Linked DNA regions of Tribolium castaneum. Each later gene encodes a partner of the first gene's protein in a complex. Links are inferred from orthologs where the notes say so. Each region holds a gene or a part of one and is shown on either strand. Other genes may lie near its edges. The genes, in order: Tif-IA and Polr2L.

The links.
Region 2: Tif-IA (region 1) and Polr2L share a complex: the UniProt entries of both Homo sapiens proteins name them as parts of the pol I pre-initiation complex. The link is inferred for Tribolium castaneum from reciprocal best matches to the Homo sapiens genes RRN3 and POLR2L.

Annotation. Positions count from the first base shown.
Region 1 is NC_087395.1:22,076,066-22,080,643, forward strand, and holds Tif-IA (RNA polymerase I-specific transcription initiation factor RRN3), read left to right. Parts: upstream 1-1,625; 5' UTR 1,626-1,784; intron 1,785-1,832; 5' UTR 1,833-1,838; coding exon 1,839-2,292; intron 2,293-2,344; coding exon 2,345-2,450; intron 2,451-2,562; coding exon 2,563-3,174; intron 3,175-3,222; coding exon 3,223-3,401; intron 3,402-3,445; coding exon 3,446-3,704; intron 3,705-3,753; coding exon 3,754-3,928; 3' UTR 3,929-3,996; downstream 3,997-4,578. Other genes in the region: tyrosine decarboxylase, read left to right, coding at 1-309; ATP-binding cassette sub-family F member 3, read right to left, coding at 4,115-4,267, 4,359-4,578. UniProt on the Homo sapiens protein: Required for efficient transcription initiation by RNA polymerase I (Pol I). Required for the formation of the competent pre-initiation complex (PIC).
Region 2 is NC_087394.1:15,049,594-15,052,054, reverse strand, and holds Polr2L (RNA polymerase II subunit 10), read left to right. Parts: upstream 1-1,545; coding exon 1,546-1,749; downstream 1,750-2,461. Other genes in the region: Sumo (small ubiquitin-related modifier 3), read right to left, coding at 662-781, 868-885. UniProt on the Homo sapiens protein: DNA-dependent RNA polymerase catalyzes the transcription of DNA into RNA using the four ribonucleoside triphosphates as substrates.

The DNA.
Region 1 (4,578 bases):
AAGGAGTTCGCTGTTGAAACGCTGGCGACGGGGGCCAAGGAGCGGCCGCCGCTCACGAGACAGAAGTCGAAGCGGTTCTCGTTCACCAGGAGCATTTCGAAGGAGATGTACCAGAGGACTTTGAGTCGGTCGAATTTGTGCGACGGGGCGACGCCCATTCTTGTGGCGGATTCGGATGAGGAGGACACGCTGGTTGAGGACACGACGATGCTGCCAGATGAGCCCGATGAGGTTTTTATTGACAAACAAGAGTTTGTTAATGGGTTTAGGATAAATGACAAAGAGATTAAGTACAATGGGGTTAGTTAAGAGTGTGATTGGGTGTGTAGATGTGTAGACACAACAGTATTATTTTAAGTAATAATCTTAAGTTATTTGTTCATTCACATATCATTAGACGTAAGGACGGTTGTGTACCAAGTGATCATTTGAATTCATTACAATTAGAGTACCTACTGAAACTGATATTGAAAGAATGGTTAAGACTTGAGTCTACCAACTATTCGGAGGAAACTCTCCTACTCTAATTACAAATGACGACATATAATACTCGCTCATTAGTATTAAGTAGCGTCCTTGTTGTTGTTAAAGAGTTTTTTTACTCATTTATAAAATGTAGACGTAATAAATTATGATATTAATTTGAAACTACCATTCAATTATTTTTCCTTTATAAATTCGTTCTTCAGAGTCTTTTTGACAATATTGGTTACACACAGCGCGTGCTGTTAACATTTAAACAGCACTTTTTTAAACAGGAAAGTACTAACCATCAAGGTTTTTTACATTGTTCCATAACTGCTGGAAAAGAGAAATCAGAGGTGATTATTTCTGTTGTTTTTTTCCCTTTCCCAAAGATCATCTGAGGCAAGTGCCCTCGATCCGGCTCTGCCCCTATATCATGTAAAGAATCTTATTCAAAAAAAAATTAATACCTGCTTAAGTATGCTGAGTTAAAAATAATCGAATTCTTTTAGTTTTCGAGAGTAAGTTTGTTCTTACAAAGTGGATTTGTTTTAATTGTGAATCCTGTGAAGATTTCACTAAAATGTTTGGCTGAAATTATTTGCTTAAGAGATGAACTTCTGTGGTTGTCGGGTTGGACCTTAAAAATGTGCCTCCTTGTGTTTTTCAGATCAAAAAAAACGTTAAATGACAAAAATCAATACATTAGACAAACCTCCTTGTTCCCATCTTGTAACAATAAGTTACCTCACAGATTATATTTTTTGTTGGTGTCGTACTTGTTGCCGTGTCGTTTAATTTTACTCACTTTATGACTTACTGTTTTGTGAAAGAATTTTTGCGGATTAAAAGTTCCAAATTCGTTGACTAGTGCGTGCTGATCGCGGTTAGTGTGTGCTATTGAAAGGGATTTTTAAGGGGAAAAGAGAAAACAACCCGGATTAAAGGGTTAGTTTTCAATAATTTATTTTTAGAAAAGTTTCTACATTAAAATCTATAATATTTTCAACGAATTTACTGGTACAATGTTCCAATTTCACTGTTTTTTATTTCAGTAGGTTCGTGAAATGCTTTTGAATAGGTGATATTAACATCTTGTACTGATTTTACTTTTAATTTATTTTAATAAATTAGCCCGGCTCAAAATTTAAATAGTAGCCTTGCCAACCAAGCAACTTCGAAAAGCCACAACAAATAACCCTAGACGCAGACGTCAAACCACACGTTTTTCTCCTAACCTGTAAAAGATGTGATTTAAATAACATTGTGAAATACTGTTTTTATTGATTGACTGTGACTGAACCGTTGCTTTAATTTATGTAAGTGCCATATTTATCATTTTTTCAGAAAAAACAAACAAATTTCAGATCATTATGTCTTTATTCTCGGCCCCCACGAAGTCAACGACCCCTTCCTCGATCCTGAAGAAAACCCCAAGTCTCAAATCGACATTAAACCGCTCCTTGAAAGTGAACACACCCACTAAAGTCCGATTTATTTTACCACACTCTAAAAAAGTGCGCCACATATTGAAGGACTACATCAAACACGGAAATGCAAAGGATTATGAAAATTTAGTGTGCCTAATTCGCGATGCCGAACTGTTTGATGACGATATTTCCTCACTGTTGAAGGAAGCGACTGAGTGTATTTCAATAATGAAGCAGGAGTTACGTCTTTTTGTAGAAGCACTCCTTTCAGTTGACTGGATCGAAAGAAACGAAAATGTAGTTAAGGAGTATCAGTCATTTATTGCGAACTTAGTCGCTGCACATAACTATCACGCAGATTTTGTGATAAATAAATTAGTCACATTGTTTTTTCCCCGTAAGTTTGGTAAAGTAACTAATCACCAGTTAATTACCAGTGAATTATTTAGCTCTAACAGACCCTGAATGGGAAAATGGAACCCCCAGTAAAACGGATATTCTGAAGTGCCAACACGTCCACTCCCTCCTCTGTGAACTTCTAAGAACAGTCCCTTTGTAAGTAATTTTTCAAGTCTCAGGTACTTTCCGGATGTAATTATCTAGAGTAATAAGCAATTTTCTCTATAAAATAGTTTATAAATTAAATCTGTGCTAATGGGCATTTCAGGTGCAACGAATTGCTAATCCACGCCCTGATCGACCACTTCCCTTACATGAACAAATCGACCCACATCCACGAATACTACATCCAGAACCTCCTCTGGGTCATCTGCTACCAGCCCACTCTCAGACCCAACATCCTCCACTTAATTTTCTCAAAACTGATCATCATGGACGTGAGTGCGCCCCGCGAGGAAATCGCGAAACTTGAAGAGGAGGAAATTTTCATGATGGACGAGAGCAAAACAAACACTACGATAAATCTGGACTGCGTCCATTCAATGGCACACACTTTGGACGTTTGCCTGGATAAAGTGTTCAATTACATTTACTCCGAGTGCCATGAGCCGGGCACTAATGACTTGAATTGGGGCAAAACCAAGTCTTTATACCAGGATATTTTGACGGTCTTTGATCAGTCGATCCTGCCAACTTACAATACTCATCACGTCCAGTTTGTTATGTTTGTGCTGTGTTCCTTTAAAACGACGTTAACGGAGGCGTTTTTTAATTACTTGTGGAAGAAGGTGTGCAATCCGAACGTCGCGTCGGTGATTAGACAAGCGGCGGTTAATTATATTGTCAGTTTTATAGCGAGAGCCACTTTCGTCCCCCTTACGTAAGATTTTTTCAATTTTTTATGCCCCAGTTTAATGGAAAATTGCAGCATGTTGAAGGGGACTTTGCAACAAATGGCCGAATGGATCCACTCGTATATCGCCACTCAGGACGGCCTAGAGTGCGTCAATTCGGACCTAAGGCTCCACTCTGTCTTCTACACAGTGTGTCAAGCCCTCTTTTATGTGATTTCGTTCCGGCACAAGGATTTAGTCAACACAAAAAAAAGTAATGATTTTTTTACTCGAACATTGTCACAACTTTGATTACAGATGTCGTATTTTTGGAGAGTCTGAACTTGGCGAAAATCGTAACCAGTCGGTTAAACCCGTTGCGGGTTTGCCAACCTGCAGTCGTGCAAAATTTCGCTGCTATTACCCGAAAGTACCAACTAGCCTATTGTTACTCAATCATTGAACACAATTCGAGGAACACTTTACCGACTGTTTATAGAGACGAGAAAGGTTTTGTGACAGTTTCAAGTAACGTCCTAGAGGCGTGTTACCCGTTTGATCCTTTTGTTTTATCAAGGTTCGTTGCACCGTTTTTTGGGGGATTCCCCTGACTGTTTTAATTGCAGGTCGAGTGCGAAAGTGCACCCGTTTTATCGGGACTACAAGGAGGTGAGTTTTGAGGTAAACGATTCAGAAATGAGGGAAATTGGGGACGTTGACGATTTCCTCGAGAATGACTTTAACTCAAAAACGCAGAAATTCTCATACGGGACTTCGCCAGGGTTTAAATTTAAGGGCTAATGTGATACTGATTTATGCAAGATGTTATTTATTAATTTGATAGGAAAATAAAGTTTCTCAAAATATGACCTATATTTTAATACCGTTATAAACATGAATATATTATAAATATAACAAAAAATCATAAATAGTTTTTCCACAAAGGAGGCACATTTATACAAATTTCTCTATTAAAAAGTAAACTCGTTATTTAGACTGACTTTCGAGTTCCTGTTCGACAAGTCGTCTGTACTCATCAAAACCTTCTATACTTCGCACAGAGCCATTACCACAAACCCACAACTCCTTGCACACTTTGCGAATAAGCCGCTCGTCGTGCGACACAAGTATCACACCGCCCTAGAAAAAATTAAGCACAAGGGAGGTAAAAAAATAAAAAAGTGTATGGTGGTAATGTGATCACCCAAAAGTGGTAAAAGCGTTAACTTACGGTGAATTTGACTATCGCATTCCCTAAAGCTTCAATTGTTTCGATATCTAAATGATTGGTGGGTTCGTCAAGTACGAGGAAATTTGGGTTACCCATGCACATTCGGGCAAAAGCGACTCGAGATTTTTGCCCCCCTGATAAACTGGCGACGGTTTGGAGGGCGAGGTCGCCCGAGACGCCAAAACTCCCAAGCTGGCGTCTATATTCCTCGATTGGTTTT
Region 2 (2,461 bases), on another chromosome or scaffold:
TCATCGTTTATCGATGGTTTTAGCCTAATAATTCTTCCTTTGTGATGTAATTATTTGACACATTTGACATTTTCAATCGAAACTCCGACAGTGTTGTCACATTCCACAAATGAGTTATGACTGGCCAGGGCAGTACATTCACAGTAAAAATTTTTGGGTTGGTTACTGTGGATACTATACACTGTGGCACCATATATTCTTTTGGCCTAACTTTTTGCTCCGATTGTAAGGCCCCAACTACCTTAAAGTGATTCTCTCTACTGTAAGTAATTAACACTACACACGCAAAATTGTTAAATTAAAAAATTAAATTAAATATTGAATTACGAAAATTTCGTTACTGTTTTCGACATAGTTCAAAAGTCGTCACCAGAGGGCGTCTAGTTAATTTTATTTCCGAATACAACCAATCACTACGCACAGGAGTGAACAAACATTAACAAATCCTGGTTTAGACATTTAAGAAGTTGAGTTGCAACAAATGTGGCGGTTTCAGACGTCCAAACATGAAAAAAATGCAAATCATGGCACATTAAAGACTTGGAGAAAGGATGCGGCTTTTGATACATTTTAGTAAACACAAGTATGAATCACAATCCATGTTCTTACTCATTTGTCCCAGTAATAAACTAAAGAATCTGAGATAAAGTGTAACACTTACCGCTCTTTCACAATAAGCCCCCATCAGCTTCCTGAGAGGGGTGTGCTTTTTGATCTTGAACTGGACGACAGCATTATCTTGTCCCAGTACTTTCAAGTTGATATGTTCCGTTTCATTGCTCTGCAAAGTCCCAAAAACGTGAGTATCAGTTCAAAATTACGGGAAAAAAACCTCGTTTATGGTTAGGAAAGAAAAGTCATGTTTACCTTCTTTTCGTCACCCATATTTGGCAAATTTGGTTGTGGCTTGTAGGAGGGTCTGGGGCCGAAGTTGATGCACAAATGTAAACGGTTTTAGTGGAATTTGGTGCACTTTTAACCGTTTTATCAACAGACACGCAGCTTGCCGCTAACAAATAATGGCCGGCTTGCTTGCAAAGTAGCGGTAACTGCTCGCCGGAAGTGACTACGCGGTTAGTCAAAGTCGGCTTTAGCTGTTCAAACTTCACACTTCCGCTTGAAACATTTGTAGAAATTTACCACTTCACGTTGACAAAACGTGCTTGAAACAACGCGGTAAATTAATACAAAAAATTAGGCTTTGTTTTCAATATAACTTTCACATGTTTTCTGCGATTTTTTAATAATTTAATCAAGAAATTAATCCTTATTTGTTATTGCCGTCGACAGATGGCAGGCCACAAGCTTCAATTGATCAGGAGCACCAATATTCCAGAAGTGAAGAACCCAGAAATTCACGAAATTAGAAATCAAAAAGCTTCTAGAAAAGCGCAGTTAAAGCTTTTTGAAAGTAATCTAATTTAAAGTCTAAATACCAACGCAACAAATTTTGATTAAGCGAGAGTGTGAGGTACAGAATTTGGTTAATTTTTGATGTGTCAGTGAAAAATTAGGTTATATTTTTTCAGGTTTTGTCGAGACAAGATGATTATACCGGTTCGTTGTTTTACTTGTGGGAAAGTTATTGGAAATAAATGGGAGGCTTATCTTGGGCTTTTGCAAGCTGAATATACGGAAGGAGATGCTTTGGATGCTTTGGGTTTGAAGAGGTACTGTTGCAGAAGAATGCTTCTTGGACACGTCGATCTTATTGAAAAGTTATTGAATTATGCTCCTTTAGAGAAGTAATCTGTAGTAGTAAGTCTGTTAAGTAAGTGTAGGTGTAAGTTTAATTTTATGGCATGTAAAAAGGCGCGTTTTTGAATAAATTTTACTATTATGCCTTGTCTTTCATAAACCAGCATTTTTGCAACATCCTATTTAGTTTTTCCTACTTCACGAGTTCACGGTAACTTTTTTGTTTATTTTTATAAAGTTATTCAAAAAAATTGCATTATCTTTGTTAATTCAACCATGTCTAGAGGGTCAAGAAAGTGTCGATATGGTGATAAGGGATGTCCAGTAAAGTTTAGAAATGAAGTCAGATCTTTTCCCAAGCAACTTGATTTTTTTATCATTCTTGTATTTGTTTTCTTTAGCAACCATTTTAATTGTTGTTTTGTTTCCAGTGATTAATAATATTAATATGATTAATATTAAATTATTTATTGTATAATTTGCTAATTTAAGTGTTTGTAACACCATAAGACAATAATTGTTGGTGATTTTTTTAAAAGATACAGGGTGACTCAGGGGTGCGGTCTGTAACTTTTTTGTTACTTGAAATTTTGCCATGTTTTCGTTTTCATTATTCTATAGATAGACTTAAAGTCCACAAACTATCTTTTTTTTATTATACACAGGGTGTTGTATACATCCTGGTTTACTAGAGTTATATTTTTTGAAATGAAACACCCCATACATTTTCACATAATTATATTCTATGCAAAAAGTAATGTAA